Sus scrofa: one gene and its partners. The protein of the gene in region 7 interacts with the protein of the main gene of each other region in a pairwise test. Links are inferred from orthologs where the notes say so. Each region holds a gene or a part of one and is shown on either strand. Other genes may lie near its edges. The genes, in order: UBE2V1, HSD17B12, TMUB2, RASSF5, TRIM23, MIEF2 and UBQLN1.

Region 1 (3,500 bases), on a different chromosome or scaffold from region 7:
TACACTTTTTTTTTTTTTGGCCATGGCATGCAGCGTCTTTTATTGTGGAATCTCAGTTCCCAGACCAGTGGTTGAACCCAGGCCACAGCAGTGAAAGTACAAAATCCCAACCACTAGGCCATCAGAGATCTCTCATCTCACATTCTTAGGCAGCCTGACAGTAAATATCTAAAATTGTGACCTCTGAAATAAAATAAAATTATGCTATATTCTCACCACCTTCACTGCTAATACCTGTAATCTTTTGCTAGAATTATTGCTATAGCCTCCTAGCTGTTTGTACCCTAGCTCCCGTCACTGTATACAGCAGCCAGGGGGATCCTGTTAAAAACAAGTCCTGTCATTGCTTTGTTCAAAACACCAGTGGCTTTTTGACAGTTGGAGCCCCTCATTTCGTACTTTTCTTTGATCTCACTAACTTGGTTATTAAATCAGCATCTTTGCTATTCTCAGATGCTCTGGGAAAGGTCCTACTTCAGGGCCTTTGCACCTACTGTTTTCTCTGCTGGGAAGACTCCCCTCAGCTACCCGTAAGTCATGCTCCCTATTTAGAATTGTAACTCCCCCAAGCATTACTCTCTGCTCCAGAACTCCACCATCTGTCATACTTAGGTAATTTGCATAATTTGTATATGTTTCCTACTAGAATGTAAGCTCCATGAGGACCGGCATTTTTTTTGTTGTTCACTGCTTGTTTTCTAGTGCCTAGAAAAGTGCCTGACAAAGTAGATGCTCAGATAGTCCAGTTGATTTGTTTGTTTGTTTGCCTGCCTTTTCTAGGGCCACTCCGGCGGCATATGGAGGTTCCCAGACTAGGGGTCTAATCGGAGCTGTTGCTGCCAGCCTACACCAGAGCCACAGCAGTGCAGTATCCGAGCCACGTCTGCAACCTACACAACAGCTTGAGGCAACGCCAGATCCTTAACCCACCAAGCAAGGCCAGGGATCGAACCCGCAACCTTGTGGTTCCTAGTGGGATTCTTTAACCACTGAGCCACCATGGGAACTCCTCCGGTAGTCCAGTTGAATTAATAATAATGTATTGAACACCTTGGGAAATACTGAAATATACTGGGAACACTTCCCACAGTCTTGAGTTCCTCCAGTGAGTTTTTCTTCATGGTCATGTGTTAAGCGCTGCGTGGCTCTGAGAGTCTGGCCATTTGGGGGCTCGGTAAAGACAGCTTGTGGGAGTTCCCATTATGACTCAGTGGTAAGGAACCCTAGTATCCATGAGGATGCAGTTTCAATCCCTGGTCGTGCTCAGTGGGTTAAGGATATAGGTTGCCATGAGCCGCAGTGTATGTCACAGATGAGCTTTGGATCCTCTGTTGCTGTGGATGTGGTGCAGGCTGGCAGCTGTAGCTCTGATTCAACACCTAGCCTGGGAACTTCCATATGCCGCAGGTGTGGGCCCTAAAAAAAAGAAAGAAAGCAAGCTTGTGACTTGCCTGGATCCTGAGTTTTTCCCAGTGGAAATAGTCTAAGTGCCAGGGCTTGAAGAGGGGAGTGGGGAGAGAGGTTGGCAGGACTGGTCGGGAGAGCACCATCCCTGTCTGGCTGAGAACCTAGATTCTGCTCTGGAAGACACCCAGAAACAGTGCAAGCCTCTCTGGGTACAGGGGCATGAACCTGTGAGACATGTTGTTTGCTTGATTCCATGAGCTACTTGCTGGCCTTTGGGGTTTTTGGAAACAGGTAAAGCAGAGTGCTGGCTGCCCTCTTAGCTTTTTCACAAGTTAAGAGAGAAACTATGCCTTAAATATTTGAAATTTTTCATTCTTGCTTTCAGTTGACTCTGAGTTGATCAAGAGGACACCATTGTTATGTGATACGGTCAGGGCAGCTGTTCCTCCTAAAGTAGTTTGGGAGTCATTCCAGTAAATGAGCATGTCTTAGACTCAGAAATGTACAATAAGAACAAAAGAAGTAGACTCACGTCTTTTCTTCCAAGGAACTGTTGTTATCACTTTATTGACAGTTTTCATCTCAAACTAGTGGGCCTAAATTAATCAACATTATGACATGTAAACCCTTTATGAAGTTTTTCAAAGCTGTGGGGGTGGGGTGTCTTTCTAGGTTCGGTCAGTAGCCCTGGTTTAATCGTCACTTCACCTGTAACAAACCGGGTACCCCTTCCTTCTCGTTGTGCTGGTCAGTACGGATAGCCTCGTAAGCAGCAAGCTTGAGGTATGACAACTTTGAGCAGTTTTTTGCATGTAAGCATCTTTATTCTCAGGTGGTGCTATTGAGCAGCTAGCTGTAGGTTTACAAGTTCCCCTGGAGTTGCTAGTATCTTGAATTTTTCTCCATTTATTTTAGGAGTAAAAGTCCCTCGCAATTTCCGACTGTTGGAAGAACTCGAAGAAGGCCAGAAAGGAGTAGGAGATGGCACAGTTAGCTGGGGTCTAGAAGATGACGAAGACATGACACTTACAAGATGGACAGGGATGATAATTGGGCCTCCAAGAGTAAGCGTCGAGCTACGGCTATAAATGTCAATGTCTTAAATTCACTGTGCCTCCTTTTAAAAAATATTAGCCTTATCACGGAAAAAGCTCACCAATGGTATAGTTTCTGAAATGTGGCTATTCTTTTTTGACCAGTTTCAGTTTATATATTTGAACCTCCTCTGATGCTGTTTAATCCCTCTAAATGGTAAGCAAAAACCTGTTCAGACTCATAGTGTGAATTTACATGACAATGTAGACAGTGAGGTTTGAGGTAATTGCACCCTCAGATGCAGATTTGGAACAAACTCTTGTGCTTATCAAATAACACGACTCCCAGATACAGCCAACATTCCTGAAGACAATATCCAGATGAACTTTGGAAAGCCGTCTTGGTTGTGGTTTTTACTCATCATTTCCCAGTCCTACCATGCATCTCTCTCCTAATTCATTGAGCCATTCAGCAAAGGGTTATTGCCTGCCTAGTCTGCTTGGGTCTGTTCCAGGCCCAGAGGCCTTTGCAGAGAAGACGACAGTGGGAAGGGGGAATGTGACCTCTCTTGGAGACCTTCATGGTTTGCGAGTTCCCAGCCTTCGTGATGTCAGCTAACCTTTTTTTATGGTGCATAGTAACCCCCCTAGAAATGCCAGTTAATGCCAGAACCTGTTGTTAGATGCTACCATTGTGTAGTTGCATTCCATTTCACAGATAATAAGGAAAGAAACTCAGAAGTGAAGTTACCCGCACAAAGTCATGTAGCTGATTATTCCCAAACCAGGTCTGACTCCAGAGCCTGTGCTCCTAACGCTATGCTATATTGTCTCCTTCCTATTTATATTTTGAGTTTTCATCTGTTCCCATTAGAGAATATCCTAGAGTGGTAAGTAGTAATTTGATGTAGATATGAAGAAATAGATTCCAATTATGTGACACTTGTTTCAGACAAGCAGTAAGAGATTCTGCCTGAATGCATCAGGCCCTTTCCTGTGTCTGCTTGTGCTTAAGGATGGTGATGTTCATTCATTCTTTTCATTTCACGCAAGGCCCTG
Region 2 (4,045 bases), on a different chromosome or scaffold from region 7:
AGAAAACTTATCAGTATTACATACAAACATTAATTCTAAAATCCCAAAACTTTGGTTGAACAAATTACCTACTTTTAATCAAAATTTAACCGTAATTATGCAAGTGTTATCTCCGCTGGTTTGTTTTCCAAAAATTTCACTTTTTCTTTGTTATTCAAAGAGTCCCTGAATTGGGAGAGAGAAAGCAAGAAGTAGTTTCTTTTAATATCCAGGCCACCACACGTGTGTAGTGTTACAAATAACTTGATCATTTCTTCTGCTTCCATACTTGAAAAGAGATTCCCCAAAACACAAACTGAACAGTATTTCACTTTACCACACTGTGAGCCTCTCTGCTATATCCTATTGTTCTAGGTTAAATGTTACTTCTAAATCTTGTCAGTATTTCCCTTAATTCATCAAACATCTTTCCTCTGGGGCCAAATCTTTTCAATATAAGTATTACTCATAAAATGACAATGTCACATCACTTGGCTTTTACTATGGATTCATATAGAAACAACTTAGACCATCTGAGTTATCAGCAACTACAGTCAATTTTAGATAGCTAAAAAAAAAGTTATTCCCAAGAGTCTTTTTTGCTTTTTAGGGCCACACTTTCAGCATATGGAACTTCCCAGGCTAGGGGTTGAATTAGAGCTACATACAGCTGCCGGCCTATACCACAGCCACAGCAACTTGGGATCTGAGCCGCATCTACAACCTACACCACAGCTCATGGCAATGCAGGATCAACTGACTGAGCGAGGCCAGGGATGGAACCCGAGTCCTCATGGATACTAGTCGGAGTCATTTCCGCTGTACCACAACAGGGACTGCCAAGAGTTTTACTTATAAATTACAAAACTAATCCATCTTAATATATAATTTCCTAAGGCACTGGAGTTTTATGCAACTATTTCGAAAGTCGACAAGCAAGTTTTCCGAGCCAAACAACTAAGAACTTGAGCAAACCAACTGTGAAATTATAATTGATTACACATCACTTGCTTTCTCAACGATTAGAAAATCAGTGACTTTTTAAAATACATATTATAATGTTAACAGCTGCTTCACAGATTCATTCCTACTTGAGATGTTTTCTCTTTATGTTGCTATCCCCAAAGTGTAATTTATCTTGTTTTTCCTACCAAGTTGTTGAAATGTTTTCAAGTGAATAAAGAATATAGAGTACCATTATTTGCACATCTTATTTGAGCCTAGTCTGAATGCAACCCCGAACCACTCAGCATTCCATAAAATGCTTTGTGAACATTTTATTATAAAACTGAAGAACAGGAGTTCCCATCGTGGCTCAGCAGTAATGAACCCAACTAGTATCCATTGGGACGTGGGTTCGCCCTGGCCTCCCTCAGTGGGTTAAGGATCCCACATTGCCTTGAGCTGCGCTGTAGGTCGCAAACACTGCTGGGATCTGGCGTTGCTGTGGCTATGGTGTAAGCCAGCAGCTATAGCTCTGATTTGACCCCCTTGCTGGGAACTTCCAGAAGCCACGTGGGAGGCCCTAAAAAAAAAAAAAAAACTGAAGAACACATAATCACATCTTCGATCTGTACATCACTCAGTTAAAACAAAACAAAAACAAAAAAAAAAACCCTAAAAGAAAAGAAAAATAAGGAAAGAAAATCAACAAAAAAGGCAGAGAAAGAAAAAAGGCACACGCAAAACTTCCCTGCAGATAATTTTCTCAACTTCTCTAATCTGACCTTTCCCTTCCATTTTCCTCTAACTAGATAAACAAGATCCATTTGTTTAGCTCACTCTTTATGGGAATACTTTTTCCTGCAAATGTCCTGAAAAAAAAAAAAAATTCTGAATTCTACTTGAAGAGTTACCGTTTTTGCAAAAGCAATAGTTCTTGCCACCCATTAGAACTCCAGACCAATTTAGCAAAGATTAAAAAAAAAAAAAGTAAATTATATGAAATAGACCAAACCCAAGGCTCCAAAGAGCAGAAAGTCTTCTGAAATTCTCTGTCCTCTTCCTTCACCCTCACCCCAAACAAGCAACAGAATGCTTTTCATCTTTAGCACAAGGCAAGTGTTCAAGCCAAAAACTTTATTTTAAAAATACTCATAAGGGACTAGCCATGTGGATAGAGTGTGACCGAGCAAGCAGCCGGGCGACGAACTCCAGTCGGTGAAGCCGGAAAGATTTAAAGGTCACAAGATCCAGGGAGCTGGGGTCAGATTTCTCCCGCACCCACCAAGTGGCCCTTCAGATTCTCTGAGTTAGGCCAGCAATGTATTAAGTACTTACAAACTCCACAAGTCTAAGCAAGCCGGAAGATTTGCTTAGGGAACAGGCGGGTACGCGGAACAGGGAACAGGCGGGTACGCGGAACCAAGGAGTCTCAGTAAAGAGGAGAGGGGAGCTGGGGACCAGAAGGCCAAGCGCTGGGCCAGGACCTGGTCAGCGCAGACCAGGCCCAGCCGGGAGCCGCGCGGGCCGCCGAAGGAGCGAGGGGGATGGCGGCGCTGGAGCCGACTCACCTGCCCATTCACCGAGCCACGGGCCGACCCCCGCCTCGTGACCCAAACCCCAGACCCGAAGGGCCGTGAAGAACCAGCACGAGATGCGCAGAGCCAGGTAGGCCACGGTGCTCGCGCCCACCCAGTACAGGAAGCCCGCTGCAGGCAGAGCTGTTTCCATGGCTTTCAACCGGGCCTCACTACCTTCGCGAATGAAAAAGACGAATGAATGAATCCAAGAAGAAGCGCCGGCCGTGACGGTGAAGACTACAGCAATAGGCGCTGCTCCTACAAAGATTTTGGCCTAAACCCCGCCTATGGCACCATTTCCGTGCCGCAATTGGTGGATCTGTGGGTCTCGCTGCGCGTACTTCATCAGCCATTGGCTGATTCTAGTTGCGCTGCCCCGCCCAGACTCCCCTTAGCTGTCGCCCACTGGCGTTTCCGTCTTAAGGCGGCTGATCGCTCACCTGCCAATCAAGCTTCAGCCCTGTGCATCGCGGCAACGCGCCCCAGGATTCCGCCAGAGCGCAGGACGTCTCACCCTCACCAAATTGCCCGGGTCTCTCATTGCTGGAGAGTCCTGGCCCCAGCGGTAGCGTGTGCTCGGATTGGCCAATCAGATCCAACCTGCTTTGAGCTGGGTTTGAGGAGGAAATGGGTGAATGGAAGGAAATATTGTAGTAAGAAGTGGACGGGGAGCCTCGGTTTTATTTTCATGTCTTTATTAAACAATTCTGCATCATTAAGTGTGGTGTCGTTTTTCCCATAAGCTTTTCCGAATAAATGTTTTCATCTCCTGTTTCTGTACGGTCCCCACAGCACACCTTCGCTCCGGTTACACATCCTAATGGAGGGCTTTCTAAGTGCCAGACTCCCTCCCTCACTGGCATTAAACAACATAGTTCCCAATGTCTTGGACTGAAAGGTAAATAAGAGGGATCACAGAGTTAAATGACTATAATACCCAACGGTTTTAGATCTATAAAATGAATGAAAAATAGATTATGGGAACACAGCTTGATGAACAATTAGTTTGGAGGACTCCATGTTTTAACTGGGATTTAAAGGGCTACAGAGGGAGGAATGATGAAGGCGCACAAAAGTGTACAGTCCAAGTAGATGTATAACCACCTCGCCAAAGTTCCAGAGGAGTAGAGTCCAAGGTAAGTTTAAGAAATTGTCTAATGACTTATATCCAGACAAAACTATATTTCAAAAGGATTCACGCACCCCTATGTTCACTGTAGCACTACTCACAATAGGCAAGACATGGAAACAACCCAAATGTACATTGACAGATGGTTGGATTAAGATGATGTGGTGTATATACACAATGGAATACTACTCGGCCATTAAAAAGAATGAAATTTGTAGTAACATGGATGCAACTAGAGATATCATACTAAGTGAAGTCAGGAAGAGAAAGACAAATACTGTATGATATATATCATATGTAGAATCTAAACTATGGCACAAGTGAACCTATCTACAAAACAGAAACAGACTCACAAACATTTAGAACAGACTCGTGGTTGCAGGGAGGTGTGGAGTGGGATGGACTGGGAATTTGG
Region 3 (4,240 bases), on a different chromosome or scaffold from region 7:
TTCTAAGAAAGTGCGGGGCAGGACCTGATGCATCCCTGCTGTCCCCACTCTATCCTGGCCTCCTCCGAGGCGACCAAGGGCTGGGGGCTTGGGGTTTGAGCAGCCTCCCACTTCCCAGCCCACTTACCTCTTCAGAGCACCCACAGTATCCTCTGGCCTGGCCACAGCCAGCTCCTCGGTGTCATTGAGGAATTTGAGCCGCACATTGATGAGGCTGGGGCCGGAAGGGAGGCAGCTGCTCTCCTCGGATCGCAGGGGCGCCTCTGGCCTGCCGTTCTCTGGGCCTGCGTGTCTTTTGGGCAGGCCTTGGATGTCAAGCAGATGCTCGAGGCTGGGTTCAACACCACCCCCAGCTCCAGGCTCCCCTGTGGAGTCTCCCCCACCTTCGCCAGCCTCTTCAGCCTTCTCATCACTACCCTCTGATGGATGGGGGAGTTCGGTTGGCTCGGGGGTGCCTTGGCCTGCCACCAGATGGTCCACATGCCCCAGGTGGAGGACGGATGTGTCGCCAGCTGACACAATAGTGCCCAGGAGCTGGTTGCTACCGCTGTCTGCTACATAGGTAGAAAGCCAAGCTAGGACCAAGGCTAGAATCAGCACCACCACACCTGCCACCACAGTCACCTCATTACCCACTCCCTCAATAAGGGTGACATCAGAGAGCTCCATGGCCTGGTTGCTGACTGGGTCCACACTGCAGGAACAAAAGGGGATAGGGTCAGCAGGGCCTGAGGGCTTGCAACCAGGTTTCCTGTTTGTTTAGGTTCTGCCTGACCCAGCCCTGACAGAAAATGGAGTTCACTGTCCTGCAGAGAGGGGCACAAACCTTCCTAACTCCGGACCCCAACCCAAGGCTACAGACTTAGCCTTTGCCTCCACTGTGAAAGGCTGACTTTCAGACTCCACACCCTTCCTGTCTCACATTCCAACCCCCCAATGAGCATGGGTCATCAAGGAAAGCTTACAGTTTCATTGTTGCTGCTACTGCTACTGTTTGTTGCTTTTTGACAGGTAGGGAAGACACTGGCTTCTTTGAGACCTAAGTTTCTCTAGGATTTCTACCACTCGGTAAAACAACGACGACACCTCCCTGGCAAAAGGCCTCCAAGGCAGCTTCAGAGAGACTAAAGAAGCCTGGAATATTTTACTTGGGGGTCCTTTTGGGAGGCACAGCACGGCCACTCTGGCCAGGTTATCTCATTTGAACCCAATCTCATTCATGGTCATGGATTTAGGTCCAGCTGTTAAGAGCCGAAGAAAATTAATCTATCATCAAAAGCAAAGCCAGGAGTTCCCACTCTGGCACAAGAGGATCGGCAGTGTCTCTGCGGTGCCAGGATGTAGGTTCGATCCCTGGGCCGACTGGGCCGGAACAGTGGTTAAGGATCCGGTGTTGCCATAGCTGCGGCGTAGGTGGCAACTGTGGCTGGGATCTGAGCCCTGGCTCGGGAACTCCTCCATATGCCTTGGGGCAACCAAAAAAGAAAAAAAAGCAAAGTGAGACCACCTCAAAGGGACAACTCTGTAGGGGCCATCACTAGACCCTATGCAGCAGACACTGTGTCTGCCTCCTCTTGAAATTCTCCTGGCAGTGAAGCAGGACACACACACAGAAACACCACCCTCCTGGGTTACCACAGGCTCACAACTACAAAACCGCTACCTGCGTGGAACTAATTTGGACAAGATTCCAAATGGCTCTCACAATCCATTTTGCAATCTTTCTTCTTGTAAGGTGGCCTCCTCCCTTGGCAGTGTCTTAGAAAGGCAGTAAGGATCTCTATTGCTCCTTGGAGTCCCTACTCTTTCCCTTTGAGATCTGCTGCTTTCATAGCTGTCCCTGGGCAAATCCCATCTAATGACTGTCGTTACCAGCCTGTTCTCACAGCATCTATAAAACTTCATTATACTTATCTACCTGTCCATCTCTCTACCAGACTCCTGGAAGACAAGGATCACATGTATTTTTCTGTGTCTCATAGAGCCCAACATAATCCCATAGCAGTTGCTCAAAGAATATCTGTGGAATATATCAACATCTGAATAATTTCCAATAGTACATGGGCCTTGGAGTCAGAAAACAAATAAACAAACCCAAACTACAAACCCCGTCTTGCCTCTTACTAGCTCTGTAACCTTAAATTCCTCGGGGCCTCAGCGTTCTCATCGGTAAAATGGGATTAAAAATAGTACCTACCTCATAAGGTCGTTTTGAAGATGAGGAGAGATCATCGAAGCAAAATACTTAGCACAGTGCCCAGCACATTGCAATTGTTCAGTAACAAATAGTAGCAATCATTTATCACTCTCACAACTAACCCCTGATGGTAAGGTTAATATCATTAACCCTGACTTACAGAAAAGAAAACTGCGGCGAATAGAGGCAAACACGACTGGCACAGGCACAGGGAACTTTTGTGGGAGGGGCCGGGCAAGACCCCAGGTCTCCCTCGGCGGAGGCCTTTGCTCTCTCCTCAATCTGTGAGCGACCCTTGATGGCGCGGTGAGGAAGGGTCCCCGATCCTGCCTATCTGAAGCGAAGGCTCCGCGTTTGGGCGGTCCTATTCCCGCGACGCTGGGGAGGGGTCCGTAGGTCCAGCCGAGCCGAAAGGCTGTCTATTCCCCGCCACAGTTCCCAGACCCAGTTCTTCCGGCCCAAGAGGGGTAAGGGAGGGTGAGGGGGTCACAAACCATCCACACCCCTCAAACTTCGGGGCGGGGCCGGGGAACTGGGGGCGGGGCTTGAGTACGCGGGGGAACATGGGAAATTAAAGGGGGACTGGACCGGTACCGCACCTGGATAAGGAAGGAGGTCCTCACCTGAAACGGCCAAACTAAGTGTTTTGACTTCGTCAAGACGGCCCATGGACTCACCTTTCTTTAGGGAATCGGGGAGGGGGCTGACTAGCCCCAATTCTGTTCAGGGTCCAGTCTCTTCCGGCTTCTCCCGGAAGCTGTTAGAACCAGAGACAGGAAGTTCCGCCTCTGCGCCTTGCACTGATGACGAAAAGCTACGTAAAGCGGGCTGACGTAAACGTATTCTTTAAATAAAAGGGACAGGTTTCTCGGCGGAAGGAGGGGCGGAGTCGTTGTTGGCGGGATCCTGGCCCTCCCGGGGCCGAGCCACGCCTGGTGGGCGGGGCCTAAAGAGCTAGGGGTGAGGAGTGGGCCCTGGAGGGAATTAGGGGAGGTGCTTGGGTAAGGGGCGTGGCTCCGCGTCTGGACGTCAAAGCTGGATGGCACCTCTGGGCAATCTAGAGCTACCCTTTCCTCTTTCGCAGCTTTCTCTATCCGGTCTTGCTCCCAACTTCCCAGACTGATTGGACTTATTACTGTCCAACAACGCGCACTGAGCTCTGGGTTAGCGGAATCAGCAGGCACTGGTCTTTCTGAGCGCCACGAGTTCAAATCAGGGCTCAGTCGGGAGCCAGGCGAGGAGACGATTTAGTAACCAACCATTCGGTGTTTCGAGATTGCGGCTCCAGATAGTGTGGCACCTTGGTAAATAAGGTGAGAAAGCATTTCAAAGAAGGCACTGATTTTTTTTCTAGGCTTGGGGTACAGGAATGGCAAGAGCCCCCAAAAAGACAGGTTTAATTTACAAGAATTTATCTGGATTTTTGCAATTAAATTTTGTTCTAAAGAGGTTCTGTGGTTTTTGCTGTTTTCCGGAGCTGCCTATGTGACCTACACCACAATTCACAGGAACAACAGATCCTTAACCCACTGAGTGATGCCAGGGATCGAACCTGCAACCTCTGGGTTGCTAGTCGGATTTGTTTCCAATGCTCCAGGATGGGAACTCCATAAGTGTTATCTTTTGTTGTTGTTTTGTTTTGTTTTTAGGGCCACCTTCGTGGCATACGGAGGTTCCCAGGCACTAGGGGTGGAATTGGAGCTGTAGCTGTGGCCTATACCACAGACCCAGGATCCCAGGATCTGAGCCTCATCTGCGACCTACACCACAGCTCCTGGCAACACAGGGTCCTTAACCCACTGCGAAAGACCAGGGATCGAACTGGCTTCCTCATGGATACTAGTCGTGTTCATTAACCACTGAGCCACGAAGGGAACTACTCTGGTGAACTATGGATTGAAGAAGTATAAATAATGCAGATGGTCAAGCTAAAAAGCGAAAAGCTCAATAGTTTTCACCACAGAACAGACCAGGGGAACCAGGTCTTAAGAAATAAAAAGATACCCCAAAACCTCCCTTCAGTCCTCTTCCAGCCACTATCTT
Region 4 (4,128 bases), on a different chromosome or scaffold from region 7:
GCGGCCCTAAAAGGGACAAAAGACCAAAAAAAAAAGTCATGTTTTTGACCCCTGCTTTTCAAAACAAAGGTAAAACAAACCAACCCCACCGTGGAATTAGAACTTCAACTAAAAGAAAGATGATTGGTGAATGTGGCCTCTCCCTGCCAGCCACCAGAACATTTCTCAACTGTTCCCATCCAGCCACAGGTCCAAAATCAGTTAAATATTAATAACAACAAACAGAGACTCCTCTCTGTAGCCCCTTGAGTCCAACTCTGCTCCCTCTCCGACATTCAGTATTAAATCACCTCGCTGGGGGCCACCAACTGACACACAGAGTCAGAGGACATGCCTGTGCATCTGAGACTTCCTGCCGCCAGAACCTATGGATGAACTAATCAAAGGAAACAATTCTAACGTGAAGTGAGCATCAGGTCACTTAATCACGGAGTACCACGCACACACATATACACACAGACTCCATTATCAACAATACCCTCTGAAAATCATAAAATTCTATGCCAAACGTTCAACAATTGATACAGTTCTCCAATGTCTTCATACAAACTAGAATTCCAGGGAAGCGGATTTCCTGGGATTCCAGCACAATAAAACCCATTACAGTGAAGATACTGCTTCTCTGTGTGTTTCCAGGGTTGGTGGAGGCAGGAAAGTACTCCAGAACCCTTGAGAGGACAAAAGCTGCCAGGACATCTGTGGGAAAGTTGATCTGATTCCCCGGAAGGTCAGGGACATTTAACCAAGTGACAGCAGCCCTCCACCCACATCACACACCTCTTACAGCTTGTGTTCTTTCCTTTTCAATTAGCACCTGAACTGAGTTCTGGTGGTGGACAGAGCAGCACCCATTTGCCCCTCCAATCTTCCTCTTCCACTTGACCCTGACCTAGAGTCTGGGCTCTCCTTCCCTGAAGCCAGCTGCAGTGAGAGGCACACACGGCACACAGCCTTGGGTGTGGATGGCAGAGAGAGGGAAGGTAGGGTTTTCCTGATGTGGATGTAGCTGCTGCTGTCCAGTGCTGTAGCTGGATGGGAGCTGTGGGGCTGCTGGCATCTGGGAAGGGCCTTTGCTGAAAGATGCAAACCATAGGCCATTTCCAGAGATGCTTGCTAGAGGTTGTATCACTGTCTGTGCTTTCTGCTTCAGATATTTATACAATATCTGAAATATCTATACAAACACATAAACACATGGGCAGGGATATCCTCTGCCAAACGTGGCAAATATGGGGGTGGCGTGGGGGGGTGGGAAGGGGACATCCACTAAAGAAACACACACACCTAACTGCTGGAAGAGAAAAATAATAAACCCCCAAGAAGACTGCAAATTTCCTCAGAAAATCTATACACTGGATGCCTAGGGCTTTAATAGTTAGGCTTTGAGAAGAGTCTGGCTCAGGAGGAGGCTGGAGGGACCCGAGAGCTCTGAGGAAGAAGGGACAGCGCAAGCAGTTGGGTAATTTTTGAGCCTGATGACTGGTGCTGTAACCTAGGACGAGGAGGAGGGGGCGGCAGGGCACAGAAAAACATCAGAGCAGAGTCCAAAGGTCTGAGGGGCCAGAGGTGGAAGGCAGGGGACACAGGTCCAGGGTCACCTCAGGCTCTCTTCAACCTCACAGCCCCTTTCCATCCAAAGCCTGATCAGGTCCCCTCCCTGGCACAACAGGTCACCCTGTAGGAGGGTGACCATAGGCAGGTATGCGCCATGGGCCTGTACCATAGGTGGACAATTCATTTTGCCATTAACCCTAATGAGTAAGGGTCAAATGATCATCTCAATATCAGCCTCACAACCCATGGCCAAGAACGTACAACAAAAGCAAGACGGTGCACAGCAGACAACGGAATGACCTTGTAGCTTTAGCCATCAACCCCAACCTGCGAGTGTGTATACGTGTGTGTCTGGGGAGGTGCGAGGCGCACACCTGTCAGGGAAGAGGTAGTCGTAAAATACCACGTAACCGTACCTGGGCAGTGGCTGTTACTGAAGGATAGCGGGCAGGGGACTAGGGAAAAGAGTGTCTCCCGCAGTCAAAGTCAAGGTCTCCCCTGGAGCCAGAGACGGCAATGTCCCCTCTCTGCCTGCCCCGGCCCCCTCGCAGTGGCTTGCCCATGGACTGCGGTCTTCCCGCGCGCCCCTCCTCTGCCCTGCCCTTCCCTGCCCGCACACTCACTAGCGCAGCGCAGCGCCTGCCGCAGCACCTCTCGTCCGCACAGGTCACACCAGCCCCGGCCGCTCCGCAGCGCCAGTTCGGCAAAGCAGTGCCCCTCGCCTCGCTCCGCCGGGACGCGGGGATCCTGTGGCTGTTCGAAGATGCTCCGCACGTCTCGGGGCCGGGGCGCTCCAGGCCGCCGCCGCAGTCTCTGCTGCAGACCAGGCCGGAGAGGGCGAGCGGGTCGGGAGGCGCGAGGCTGGGACTCCACGTCTCCTCGAGCAGCCCTCCGGGCGCCGCGCCCCTCGTGCGCCTCAGGCGCAGTGGACAGGGGCGCGGGGGCGCAGCGGCGCGAGGACGGGCCCGGGGGTGGCGGTGGCGGCTCGGGGCCGCTCAGGCTCGGCAGATAGCGCGGCGGTTCCGGGTCCAAGAGTAGCCGGTACGGGCGCTGCCCGATGGCCGGGGACGCCATGGCCATGCCGGGTTAGTGGCGGCGGCTCTCAGCCGTGGCGCTCCTCCCGAGTCCGCCTCGAGAGAAGGGCGGCCCCAACCGAGCGCGCCTTTAAAGGGACCGCAGCCTGCAGGGCGGGGCGGGGGTGGGGAGACTTCCGAGAGGCGGGAAGGAGGACCCGAGGGAACCACCTACCGACCCAGCGGCAGGGGTGGGGGTGGAGGGGCTCCTGAGAGAGTGTGGATTTAGAGGAGTCTTCGGGAAGCTGGGGCAGCTCAAGGATTGCGTACGCGAAAAGCTCTACACAGGACAACTCAGAAGAGACATTTGGTAGGGGGACGCTCGCCCTCAGCCCTGCCTCCTTTCCTTTCCCATCAGTTCCCCCAACCCCAGACCCTCCCCAACGCGCCCAGGGGAGGGCTTCGGACCGGATGAAGAAGCTTAGGAACTAGCTGAGGATGGAGTGTAGGGAGATGTCTACAAGCTCAGGATCCGTTCGCCACCCTCCCGGTGGTCGCTTGCTCGCCGCCCTCCCGCTCGCCATCACCCGCCGCCCCCTTGCGCACAGAGCCAGGCGTGGGTCGGGGATGCCCGGCTCCCGCTCGCGCGCTGGCGGCGGCGCAGAGTCCCGTGACGCGGAGGGACGCGCCGCGGGGGACGCTTCCCATGCCGGTGGCGAGAAGCCGCCTCCGCGCGGCCGTCAGGACTGTCCGCTCGCCACTTTCACTCTTGTTTGATTTCCCCTCTCTCAGCAGCCCCGTCGGGTAGGATATTCCTTTCCCGGAAGGCTGGGAATTATAGTACTCCTGGGCCCTGGGCTGTGAGACCACTCCAGCGCCCCGTGGGTTGGAAGGGCTTTTCTTCCTAAGTCAAACCCTCTTCTTCTCATAGGTGCCATCGTAATTCACTGTGGAAATACTGCTGCCGCCGACGCAGCCGTGCCCTGCCCGCAGACGCCTTGCTTGTACCTGGTAAGGACAGCTCACCCAGTGGGACCAAAGAGAGAGCCCCTTCTACCAGCTTCCAGGACAGGCTTCGTAACCTCTCCCCACCTCTCGAGTTTAATGCCCTGCTATCACCGCCTTGAAAGCCTTAATAATTTTTGGAACAAAAGATCGGCATTTTCAATGTCCCACACATTGCATAACCGTGACCATCTCTCATGGGTGAGGAAACGGAACTGCTGAAGCTTTGAACCTGTGTGTCTGGCCACAGACTTGCTGACCCTGGCTGTAGCCGCTACAGTTTCCTTAACTAAATTGTCCGGGAGTGGGGAGACAGATGGATGCTTTTCCCACCTTCTCCACTTTCACCATTCTGACTCCCTGATCACTGCCTGGTCTCTCAAGACTTGGGGTTCAGTTTGGTTAATTTAACAGAAGTCACCGGTAAATCAGCTTTGGAAAAACGCGAGAGAGGGTGCCTCCTCTTCCCAGGCCAGAGATGGGTCTCCCCCTAGTGTCTCCTAGGGGAATCTTTGCTTTTGCTTTTTGTTTTCCCCTTGGAGGTGATTTTTAGGTA
Region 5 (3,500 bases), on a different chromosome or scaffold from region 7:
GACCTACACCATAGCTCACAGCAATGCCAGATCCTAACCCACTGGGCGAGGCAAAGGATGGAACCCATGTTCTCATCGATACTAGTCAGGTTCTTTTCCATTGAGCCACAAAGGGAACTCCTACATAGGAGTTTCTGGTGAGCATCAACTACTTTATTTCTTTTGGTATACTCCAAGGTACCAAGTACAGCACTTTCCATAAAGATTGTACTCAAAATATAGAACAGAAACTTTGTAAATATCTAAATGATTTCTCTTGAAATAGTAACAGCTACCTATAATATGGAATACTAAAATAAGTATTCTGAAATACAAATGTGTCACCTGTTTGTTAGCAAAAATCAGGAGCAAAGCATCTCGGAGTTCCTTTTCCGTCAACAACTTTGCAAGTTCACTGTGTGCTTCACTAACTCTGTCTCTGTGACTGCTATCAACAACAAATACAACAGCTACCAAAAGAACGTAAAAATGTTCAATTAGTCACTTGTTAAGTTTCAGCAAATGGACCAAATATTTTAATGTTCTCATTATGATAATCTATGATCATTTTCACAGAAAGGCTGCCAATTATAGGAGCACCTAGCAATAATTAATGATATGATCTCAAGTAGTGAACATAACTTTTCAATTGTTGTTTCCCAACCTATAACAGGATTTACAACACTTGCACTACCAAATAGAAACTGCTGTTCATACCATTTAAAATTTTTTTCTTAATGAATGAAAATGCAGCTCTCCTGATCTACTTGCTGGTGCTACTTCTTCGATTATTACTTCATTTACAAAAAGTCTTTGCTTTTTTTTTTCTTTTTAAGACTGCACCTGCAGCATATGAAAGTTCCCAGGCCAGGGGTTGAATTGGAGCTGCAGCTGCAGCCTACATCACAGACACAGCAACACAGGATCCAAGCCACATCTGTAACCTACACTGCAGCTTGCAGCAACACTGGATCCTTAACCCACTAAGCAAGGCCAGGGTTTGAACCCGCATCCACACAGAGAAAATAGCAGGTCCTTAACCTGCTGAGCCACAATGGGAACTCCAAGACAGTTTTTTAAAAATAAATAAATCACCATCTTTATCTCCCCAAAGTATTCTCTGTAGGTGCCTGTAATGGCATGTTCCATAGATTAGACTGAAAATACACAGATGAAGCTTCATAAATAGATACTGAATTAATTCTCTTTAAAATATTTCCAGCTTCCTCCTGTAGCTAAACATCCCAGACTTTCAACCATTCTTCATACTCAAAATTCCCTTTTTTCCCCCTTAGTCACTTGCTCATACTAAACTTAATATCAAAAATCCCAAAGTAAAAATTATCTAGTCTTTCTTCTAGGTGGAAAATAGGATGATATATGAACATAAGTTTCAGGAGGTAAAGCATAAAATGAGGCCCAAATGCTAAGTGGAATATATGTGATATAACACAATTTGGTCAAAAGCAAACCACTTCAGGTTCTTCTGCAGATAACAACTAATTGTGAATGGAAATGAAGGAGTGGAAGCTATTGAGAGAATATAATGGAATTGAACTGAATAGAGTAACAGAACTATACCCCACAAATTCTACTCTATACGACAATATTGCCAGTGATCATGCTCATATGAACATTAATACTAATCTTTGTTAAAAGCAGCAAGAGGTAAGTATGCTTAACTGTCTACATATATAACATAAATATGGTTGTTATGCTATAATTATGCTTTTCATGAAATAACCCAGAGTACATATCCCAGTTTTTCTAATTTTCTTAATAATGTTACTAATTTTCTTAATAATGCGGTGTCTGCTACAAATATATAAAGGTATAGTTACATATTTAATCAATGCTAAAGCATCAGTTTTATTACCTAATCAATGCATTGAAAACTGGCATCCTAAAAATTTGAAAAATTATAATGTAACTCTTATACTCTTACCTTGGGTATTGAGGTAATAATGTTTCCACAATGGTCTTAATTTGTGTTTTCCACCTACATCCCAAATGGTGAACTTTAGATTTTTATATTCTACAGTTTCCACATTAAAACCTGTTTTTAAAAAAAGTTTCTTTAATACTAAACTTATATTTACAATGAATGACACAACAAACACAGGCAACACCATTTACAACTGTAACTTACAAATTATCTTCATACAACAATATCTACTGCTGCCCAACTAACTCCACTCCTAATAAGCATACATGAGGAAATTAATACCTTTAACCAGAGCTCTTAGGACCTTGACACTGAAGTGCCAGCTCTGCACCACTACCACCTCCTCACCCCAAATCCTTAGCCAGTCATCAATCCTTTATTCCTTGCAACTGTACCACCAATATTCTGTTCCTTCTTACTATCCCTCTATCCACATTTCAGTTAAACAGCCACTGAATATTCCATTTTTTTCTCCATGGCAGAGCCATTCTCCACAGCAGACAGGCATAAAATAAGGTCCTAAGAACTCAGCTATAAGCTAGAGTTTGTATGTAAAGTGTCCATTAAAGATAAAGCAATACTCATACTTACCAATTGTTGGAATAGGCTGCATAAACTCATCCTGTTTTAATTTAAACAAAATAGTAGTTTTTCCAGCACCATCTAATCCTAATGTGACAACTCGAATTTCCATTTTTGGTCCAATGTGAACTCTATTGTCCTATAATTTTTAAAAAATTTAATCTTTTTATTTTGTTATGGAGTTAAAAGTATTAGCACTTAACACTTTTATTTACAAAAAACTTCTGTTAATTATTTGTCTCCTACTCATTCCTCAATCCATTAAAATCAGTTTAAAATACCCTGATTCTGATATTCTCAGAGGAATCACTCCTCATTGCTTTGCTAAATCTTGGCTTAGTAAAACTTACTACATACTTTGTTTTAATACAAGTTAAAAAAATATACACATCCACTTCTTTATCCCAGATTTTCTAGCTCAACTGAATCTTCTTTAAATAAAATTTTTATGCTGAGTTAAATATATTAATTAAAAATGAAAAGTGATGCTCATTTCCCATAAATATCCACTGTTAACAATTTCATGTATGTCCTTCCAGACACCTTTCTGTGCACACATTGGTTGACATACATAAAACAAATATACTTTAAAAAAAAAACATATTTCAACTAACTTTTCACAATTAACATTATGGAAATCTTTCATTTCAAAACATACAGACATACTTTTCCTTTCAATTGCTTCATTATATTCCATAAACCACAATTTAACTAATCTCAACTGAAAGATACTAGGTCATCTCTGATTTTTTGATATTATAAATAATGCTGCAATGAACATACTTGTATATATTGCTGCATGACCTCTCTGCCTCACTTCTCCCATCTGTAAAATGGGGAATGAAAATAGCACCAGACTTATATAGGATTATTGCATATATTAATTTTTAAAAAGACATGTAAAAATCCTTAAAACACGTAGCCCATAAATGCTATATAAATGTCAACAATTATTTTACTTCCTCATTTGTGCACTCTTTTTGGCTTTTGTGAT
Region 6 (4,154 bases), on a different chromosome or scaffold from region 7:
AGTGGCAGAGCCTGGGCTGCGTCTCCAGAACACGACCACCAAATAAGGGGCCCACCCAGGTCAGACGGGAGGCGTCAGCTCACCTGGGGCAGAGGGTGAGGGGGCCCGGAGTGGCACCGACTGGCTGAGGGCGGCGGGTGGGGGCCGACGCTGGAGGCACGGCGTGGCCTTGAGCAGGCTCAGTTCCTTCCAGCTCTCCTCCAGGCACGTGGCGTCCCCCTTGGCATCAGCCTCATCCTGAGAGCTGGTGGCCCTGTCGATGAGCTGCAGGCAGAGTGACATGGATGAGGGCATCTGAAGCCCAGGCAGCCGCAGCAGAGCCAAGGGCAAAGCGATCTAGGCTGGTGGGGCAGAGGCAGGTGTAGCCTCGGGCACTCCCACCACCCCTGGCCCACTCTGGCCAGCCCCACCGTACCCGCTTCACAGCCAGCGTGGCAATGCCCAGCACGGCAGCCCCGCCCACACCCAGCACCAGGCGGGCATTGGCCAGGAGAAAGTCCACAGCGCTGCCCAGCGCCTCGCCGTCACGCCGCTTGCCCCGATTCTGGGAGAACTCTGCCATGGTTGGTCCACCTGTAAGAGAGCCAGGGCACAGTGTAAGAGAGCCAGGGCACAGTGACTGCTCAGCTGGGGTGGGGGGGGGGCATGGCCAGCCTGTCAGCAGGACAGCAGGGTGACATCATGCCAGGGTCACTGAGTCAGGGGGCTTCCTGAGAACTTCTGAGAATGGGGCCACTTGCAGGGTTTCCTGGGAGGCCTCCCTGCCCAAGTGCCCCACCCAAACCTGCAAACAACCAGCCCCCCGGGTCTCAGAGGGAAGGCCCTGAGGCCCACGGCAGGGCAGGGAAGGGAGGCCACATCCATCCCACCCTCAGGACCCCCGACGTCGCCAGAGACCGTGAATGAGATGGATCTCACTGCCACCACCCCCACTTTGCAGAGAATCAGGTGGCTGACCCACACGGTGAGTGCAAAGCCTCTAGACCCTCACCCTCCCCACGGTCAGGTCCCAGGGGTGGCCTCGTCCTGGTTTCTGACCAGGGCTGGCAAAGCTGGAGGAAACCAAGGCCCAGAGAAGGCCACAGCTTGGGGTCCTAGCAGCTTGCCCTGAACCCCTCTCAGACCTTTGGGGTCACCTCAGTGAAGCTCAGGGGGCCTCAGCTATAACCCCCCACCCGCCAGTCTCAGCAGGGCAGCCCCCAGAGGCAGAACTGTCGAGTCTGAGAAAGCGAGGTCGCTGCCCCGGGGGTGGGGGCAGGAGCTACCTGCAACAGGTATGTGCCAGAGGAGGTTAAAGGCCCCACTGTGAGGGCAGCTAGCAAGGTGACTCAAGACTCCAAGCAGGGCTGGACAGGGGCCTCCCGGGTTTGGGACAATGCTGGGTTGGGAGGCCTCGGCTGCTGGGAGGCCAGGCCATGGAAGGTAGCTGTGGATCCGAGGCCCTGCGTTTGCTCATCTGCAAAGTGGTGCAGGTGCGCTAGGAAAGGTTTAAAGTAAGTGGCCTGGAAGGGATGAGCTGGGGTGGGACCGAGTGAAGAGGGTGTGACCAAGAGACAAGCCCAGGACACCAGTCAGACGGCCCGGCAGGACAGCTAAGGACGCCTGAGCAGATGACTCTTAGCTCAGAGCCAACTCAACCCCAAGGACTTCTGGCCGCCCTGCTTTGGGCGGGTGCCCGGCTCAGCTGCCAGGTAGGGCCTGCAGCCCCGCACCCACGCCTCGCTCCCAAACTAAAAATAGGAAAGACGGCCGGGGTTGACCCAGCATGGCCCTTGGAAGGCTTCCTCGTCGGAGATGAGTACTGCCACCGCCCCCCTGCCTGACCTGGGTCACCGCCCAGCTCCTGAGGGGGCTGCGCACACCCCAACCAGCGAAGGGGAGAGGGCGCGGCCGGGCCTCCCCTCCTCCTACAAGCCCCGGCTGGCGAGGGCACCGAGGCCCTGGGGACGCCAGGATGGACCCAGGATAGGACCCATCCAGACAGGACCCGAGCTCGGAGGCCAGCCCCAGCCCTTCACCAGTGGCCCTTTCCCGGCCGGAGAGCGCACCCAGGGAGGCCACGCCCCCACGCTCTGGCCGTACCTGCGTCGCGGCTTCGGCACACCTGCCGGCGGACACAGGGGGCCTGCTCGGGCCGCGCACCCCGGGGCCGTCCGGGAGTGGAACGTGAAAGACCCGGGAACCGAACGCGGAGGCCCGGGGGGCGGGCGCGTGCCCGGCGAGCAGACCGGCAGGCTCTGGCTCCAATCGGAGCGCTCGAAGCCTGCGCCCACGTGCCGCCCTGAGGCGCGCTCAGCCAATGGCGGCCGCGCGCTCCTCGGGGCGGGGCTTCCCGGCGCGCTGCTTCTTAAAGGGACAGGGCCGCGCTCCCAACCGCGACGGGGGAGAAGGCGAGCTTCCTTCTAGCTGGCACGCACCCTGCGGGCCTCTGGGTCTCTGTGGTCTGCTGCTGCCTTTCTCGTGAAGGGCACAGCGGCCTTGTCGCCTACTGGGGCTGCCATGTGCCAGCCAGGGGACGCCTCCCTCGGGGGACGAATGAGAACGTAACTGCACTCGGAGTCGCCTCCAAGCGCGGGCGCCGCGCCCCAGGGAGCGCTTCACGGGAGGCAGGCCCGCGGCTCTGGCTGAGGACCCTAGCATCCAACTCCCGCTGCCCCGTGCGCCCAGGCCTGGGTCCCGAGCCACCGGGGGCCCGGGAGCCAGCAAGCGCCGGCTGTTGAGCCTCGGGCGCCGAGGCCGAGTCCGGAGCAGAGGGCCCGGCGGCGGCGGCGGCAGGCCGAGGGGCGGGGCCGACGCGCGCCCCGCCCCGCCCCCGCGGCGCCCCGCCCCGCCCCGCCCAGCGCCGCCGGCCGCCCGCGCCCGCGCCCCGCAGCCTGCCGAGCTGCGCCGCCATGGAGGCCACCGGGGTGCTTCCGTTCGTGCGCGGCGTGGACCTCAGCGGCAACGACTTCAAGGTGAGCCCCCGGGCGGCGGCCGGGCCTCCCCCAGCCCGCCCCTCCGCTTCCTGCGGGCCCCGGACCCGCGGACCGGCTCGCTGGGCCTGGGCCCCGTCCCGAGCCGACCGCCGCGCCTCCGTCCCGCGCCCGCGGCGGGCACCCAGGCAGAACGCCGCGGGCGCGCGCGGAGAGCCCCCACCGGGCTCCGTCCAGGCGCCGGGCCCCACCCAGCCGGCCCGGGTCGGGAGCCTGTGCCCCCGCCTCCCCAGCCCTCCCTCCCCGCCCCTGTGAGGTCACACGCCCGAGCGGAGCCCTGACTCACGGCCGCGCCGCCGTCACTGCCCTGCCCCCTCCTGCCACCCCCATCCTGTGTGGTCTTGGGCAAGTCACTTCCCTTCTCCGAGCCTCGCTTTCTCATTCGAGGAAGGCACTTGAGATTAGTCTTCCGAAGGCAGGGATGCGTTTTCGTGGCGAGTGCGTCTGGCAGGTGTCGAGACCCAGGCGGCAGTTGTTTGAACAGCTGCTGAACTGAACAACCTGGGTCTCAAGGACCAGGCACTGGGGATGAGGGAGGCTGTTTTGGAGACCGGGAACCAGGCGGGCAGGGCTGGGCACCGGAGAGGAGGCGGGGCAGCAGCAGAGGCCAGAGTCAGCCTGGCTCCAAGAGGGTCATCTCCTCGGCAGGATGGGCCAGTGGGCAGACTCCGGCTGGGGTCAGTATAGTGTCAGCCCGGGTGTGCAGGGCCCAGCGGCCCAGGCTTTGGCTGGGACCCCGGGGTCGGGCCAGGGCTGAGGAGGCAGGCTTTTCTTCCTGCCTTGTTCCCTGTGTGCACCCTTGACCCTGTGCCCAGGCAGCCATACCACTTTCCTCTGCCTCCTGCCCACCATCCTGTCTGGGGGTCCCCACGTGTCCTGTACAGAGTGGGAGAGTCTGAGTCACCAGCTGGGAGTTGTAGCCGTAGGGGGAAGGGGACACCAGCCAAGGGCAGTGAAAGCACACACTGCCTAGGCCCCATGCCACAAGGGTGGGGGTACTGAGTGGGCATTTGGTTGTGGGAAGAGCTGCGAATGAGTGAACTAACCAACGGGGCTGAGGCTGGGCGACTGGCGGGGCTGGGGAGCTGTGTGCTGACGGCAGGGTGGGAGCACAGGTGGGACCTTGGAGAAGCTGAGGGGTACCCCTAACCCAGGTGCCACAGCAGGTTCGGGATGCCAGGC
Region 7 (3,500 bases):
CCGGTGCTTCCTAGTGCCCCCAGGCCAGGAGTAAACCTAGAAAAAGGGCAAACTGGTAATAACTGGTAATAAACCTAAACTCCTGCAAAACAAGAGGCCAGACCAGGCCAGGTGACAGCAAATCAGTTACATTTTAACAAGAACATTAGCTAAGTTATCTTCTTAAAATAAGTGTTTTTAACTTTCAAAACTTTTAAAAGCAATTTCCACCAAAAAAGGGGGAAGAATAATATTAAGCCTGAAATTCTCAGAGAAAGTAACCACTGTGCACTTTCACAGTCTTCCCCAAAGAAGCCTACCCTGGGATGAGGCCGGGGGCTTCCGTTGCTAAAGTCTGTAAACCCTGCTGAATCTGCAACAAGGCTTGCATCGCTCTAGGGTTTGACATTGCTGATAATGTATCAGGATTCTGCATCTAAGGAAGAAAGAAAAACTGTGGTAGTGAAGGAATTAAAACCAGTAAAGGTAAAATTTTAAATGTTTTCTTTGCTATGCTTCTGGAGAAAATCTAAAACCTTACTCCTAAACACTAGTTAATTCCTCATTTCTTCCCAAAATAAACATAAGCACCTCCTCTTTGATAGTAACCTAGTGTGCATATTGTTACCTGACCTCCTCCCAAGTCCATCACGAAAGCCATTTTTCATAATGAAAGACTATCAGGAGCTCCTCTGGAAGCCACAACTCTTCCCCTTTCCAACAGATAAAAGTACTGTTTCTAAGAGACAACTTCCAAATGCACAATTTATATAACATGATGATATGGTGAAAACCACGTATTCCTCCTGACCAAGAGTTATCTGTTATTGATGTAACAGTTTTACCAGTAAGATACACGCTAAAACAATAGTTCCAAATTTGAAGTTAATGCATGTGTCCTGGGTTCAGCTTCTACTTCCAAATACACACCACTTGACTAACCAAAAAGGACAGGCTTACATCATTACAATAGATCAAGGACACTAACTAACCTTGGATAATGGTTTACAGGCCTGAGGATCATTGGCATAATATTTAAAAGCCCTCCTTAGAACTACCAGTTTCAAAATGCCAAGACTGACTTCTCTTTTATCTTTTTAAATAATAAAATACCATGGCAATCTCAAGTACTTTTTTAAATAAAACCTTCCTTATATGACAACAACAATTTAAATCTTGCTAATTCCGAGTTTGAGGAATGAGTGCTACCCCCTAGAAAACTGGCATTCTATTAATTTGAAGGAATTAAAACATTACAAAGAAACCAAACATATAAAATAGGATAGGGTAGCTAGCTCTTTCCTGTTTCTCGAGATTAGTTAAACCATACAGTGTAACATGACACAATGAAGCACTTCAAAGTTAGTAAAGTGAAAGGAAATGGTTTATGATATTAACGAAGCATTCAAAATCCTAAATCCTCAAAAGCAAAAATCAAATGGTCCTTTCCTCAGAATTTATGTTTAAAAAATACCAGCAAAAGGTCAGCAATGAAATGGGGCTCAGTTAAGATCAAGCTGAATTCTCTGCAAATTGACAGCATTACCAGACTCTATTCTATGTTTTGCTATCAGCCAGAGAAGAGCAAGGATAATGTTTATCACCAAACTTTTTTCAAGCAAATAATTACCAAAGATAGCTAGCATCTTTTCTTACTCACTTGTTGGAGGAAAGTTGGGAGTTGTTGTCTCATTTGTTCTTGAAGCTGAGGATTTCCAGCAAATAGGGGATTATTCAGCATCATCTATGGGGCAAGTGTTCAAACAATTTTAACTGGAAATATCTGAAACAAGTAATGTACCTTGTTTAATAGTCTATCTTCCCCCAAGTGCCTAACCTGGCACTTAACAGTGAGGAAGGTAGAACATGAATTAAAAAAGGGAAGAATACTGTCCACAAGAGGGATCTCCAGAAAAAACAAAACTGAGGCATCTTCTCTTTCAATGAGAATGGTGATTATGATAATGACATGCAATATCCTAAAAAATAAAAGCAATCATTTTTTTAGGCTTTTCCTTGAGCAAAGGTATCTGCCTTTGAAGGAAAAATAAGAGTAAATGGCATTCATGAAGATACGTTTTCCACTACACTGACAGAATAAACATAGCATCAATACATGAACTATGCATGGCTTGCTTAGACACCTCAACACACAAGTGGCAAGCATAGAGAAAATCCACATCTGGAACCACTATATCTACCTGCCTACTACAAAACAGCTAATATTAGGTACAGAAAAATAACACAGCAGAACAGCAACCACCTAGCCAGAGAAGTGGAGCTACTAGTGAAAATCAGCCCAGGACTAGCACCGATAGATCAATCTCTGGGGGAAAGTATTAAAATGCTTTAAGACCTTAAAAATATAAAGCCATTTGAGAACACCAAGATTAACCTCTGGATTTCACCTCACTACCACCAGAGTTGAGAAAAACGGCATGCCTCCTAACCTTCAAATGGGTGTTAAGAACTAAAAAGTCAGGGTCAATATTAACACAATGTTGCATACCAGGAAATAAGATAAGGATACACGATCAGCATAAACAGAAACTGATATACTCTCATAGCTTCAAAAAGACAGACTTTATATCACTTTCCCCAGGTAGAGTGAAAGGTCAACAAAGATTTACTGACAGCCTGCTTACCAGTCTACAAGTCAGAGGGGAAAATGACCCTTGCCCTCAAGTTAATTAACCCTATTTGAGAGTAATTACATGTTAACTACTACAAGTAGAATGAACTGTTCCCTCCCTCCTTTAGTTTATTCTATCATTGCAAAGTAGACTTAGTTAATTTCAACAAAATAACTAATGCAGGAGGAAGTCAGACAATGTTTTATGGATTTACAGCATTTATTTCAAAGTGACCAGTAAATTCACAGTAAATAAAGTAAAACCTCCTTGCCAACAAACCTGCTTCTTTAACGGCTCCAGTCAAATAATATTTTTTTTATTATGAACAAATCAATAAAGTTATCACATTTATCTTTTAGGATTCATGTTATTTGAAAAGTATGTCATTTTAAACTGATTCATCTCATTGGATTAGGATATTTCTCCTAACTTACCTGACTGTATATAGCAAGAGTTTTTATAATCAGACTTTTTTGAATACCTAAAAATCAAAATCAGAATAGAGAGAACGACAAACTCTTATCTGCTGGTAATCAAAGTACACTATAAATGCTCGTAACAACTGTCTACAATAAGACAATTCATACCTAGCCTTCTTATAAAAGCAAACATTTCACTTTAAAAAACATGTGAAAGTGCTCAAGTCACTTTATAAATGTACTATTTTTCATTTAAATGGCTGGAAGTGTGCTTGTTAAAGTCAAAAAAATTTTAAAGCAAGATACACATTTAGGGAGTTCCCGTCGTGGCTCAGTGGTTAACGAATCCGACTAGGAACCATGAGGTTGCGGGTTCGATCCCTGCCCTTGCTCAGTGGGTTAACGATCCGGCGTTGCTGTGAGCTGTGGTGTAGGTTGCAGACGCGGCTCGGATCCCGCGCTGCTGTGG

Evidence for each region.
Region 1: the proteins of UBQLN1 (region 7) and UBE2V1 interact in binary tests that used the Homo sapiens proteins (3 or more experiments, as listed by UniProt). The link is inferred for Sus scrofa from reciprocal best matches to the Homo sapiens genes UBQLN1 and UBE2V1.
Region 2: the proteins of UBQLN1 (region 7) and HSD17B12 interact in binary tests that used the Homo sapiens proteins (3 or more experiments, as listed by UniProt). The link is inferred for Sus scrofa from reciprocal best matches to the Homo sapiens genes UBQLN1 and HSD17B12.
Region 3: the proteins of UBQLN1 (region 7) and TMUB2 interact in binary tests that used the Homo sapiens proteins (3 or more experiments, as listed by UniProt). The link is inferred for Sus scrofa from reciprocal best matches to the Homo sapiens genes UBQLN1 and TMUB2.
Region 4: the proteins of UBQLN1 (region 7) and RASSF5 interact in a two-hybrid assay, tested with the Homo sapiens proteins (3 studies listed by BioGRID and IntAct). The link is inferred for Sus scrofa from reciprocal best matches to the Homo sapiens genes UBQLN1 and RASSF5.
Region 5: the proteins of UBQLN1 (region 7) and TRIM23 interact in binary tests that used the Homo sapiens proteins (3 or more experiments, as listed by UniProt). The link is inferred for Sus scrofa from reciprocal best matches to the Homo sapiens genes UBQLN1 and TRIM23.
Region 6: the proteins of UBQLN1 (region 7) and MIEF2 interact in binary tests that used the Homo sapiens proteins (3 or more experiments, as listed by UniProt). The two-hybrid records come from large-scale screens. The link is inferred for Sus scrofa from reciprocal best matches to the Homo sapiens genes UBQLN1 and MIEF2.

What each region holds. Positions count from the first base shown.
Region 1 is NC_010459.5:51,640,499-51,643,998, reverse strand, and holds part of UBE2V1 (ubiquitin-conjugating enzyme E2 variant 1), read left to right. Parts: intron 1-2,322; coding exon 2,323-2,471; intron 2,472-2,477; exon of another isoform or gene 2,478-2,658; intron 2,659-3,494; exon of another isoform or gene 3,495-3,500. UniProt on the Homo sapiens protein: Has no ubiquitin ligase activity on its own. The UBE2V1-UBE2N heterodimer catalyzes the synthesis of non-canonical poly-ubiquitin chains that are linked through Lys-63.
Region 2 is NC_010444.4:18,608,961-18,613,005, forward strand, and holds the start of HSD17B12 (very-long-chain 3-oxoacyl-CoA reductase), read right to left. Parts: upstream 2,801-4,045; 5' UTR 2,653-2,800; coding exon 2,493-2,652; intron 1-2,492. UniProt on the Homo sapiens protein: Catalyzes the second of the four reactions of the long-chain fatty acids elongation cycle. This endoplasmic reticulum-bound enzymatic process, allows the addition of two carbons to the chain of long- and very long-chain fatty acids/VLCFAs per cycle.
Region 3 is NC_010454.4:19,021,209-19,025,448, forward strand, and holds the start of TMUB2 (transmembrane and ubiquitin-like domain-containing protein 2), read right to left. Parts: upstream 2,801-4,240; 5' UTR 2,233-2,800; coding exon 2,198-2,232; intron 695-2,197; coding exon 128-694; intron 1-127.
Region 4 is NC_010451.4:67,155,839-67,159,966, reverse strand, and holds the start of RASSF5 (ras association domain-containing protein 5), read right to left. Parts: upstream 2,801-4,128; 5' UTR 2,635-2,800; coding exon 2,178-2,634; intron 1-2,177. UniProt on the Homo sapiens protein: Potential tumor suppressor. Seems to be involved in lymphocyte adhesion by linking RAP1A activation upon T-cell receptor or chemokine stimulation to integrin activation.
Region 5 is NC_010458.4:44,108,292-44,111,791, forward strand, and holds part of TRIM23 (E3 ubiquitin-protein ligase TRIM23), read right to left. Parts: exon of another isoform or gene 2,646-3,500; coding exon 2,516-2,645; exon of another isoform or gene 2,036-2,515; coding exon 1,925-2,035; exon of another isoform or gene 1,499-1,924; coding exon of another isoform or gene 1,460-1,498; intron 450-1,459; coding exon 325-449; intron 1-324.
Region 6 is NC_010454.4:60,472,896-60,477,049, forward strand, and holds the start of MIEF2 (mitochondrial dynamics protein MID49), read right to left. Parts: upstream 2,801-4,154; 5' UTR 2,641-2,800; coding exon 2,418-2,640; exon of another isoform or gene 2,083-2,417; intron 574-2,082; coding exon 416-573; intron 265-415; coding exon 84-264; intron 1-83. Other genes in the region: FLII (protein flightless-1 homolog), read left to right, coding at 2,892-2,954. UniProt on the Homo sapiens protein: Mitochondrial outer membrane protein involved in the regulation of mitochondrial organization.
Region 7 is NC_010452.4:31,310,416-31,313,915, reverse strand, and holds part of UBQLN1 (ubiquilin-1), read right to left. Parts: intron 1,724-3,500; coding exon 1,640-1,723; intron 416-1,639; coding exon 300-415; intron 37-299; coding exon 1-36. UniProt on the Homo sapiens protein: Plays an important role in the regulation of different protein degradation mechanisms and pathways including ubiquitin-proteasome system (UPS), autophagy and endoplasmic reticulum-associated protein degradation (ERAD) pathway.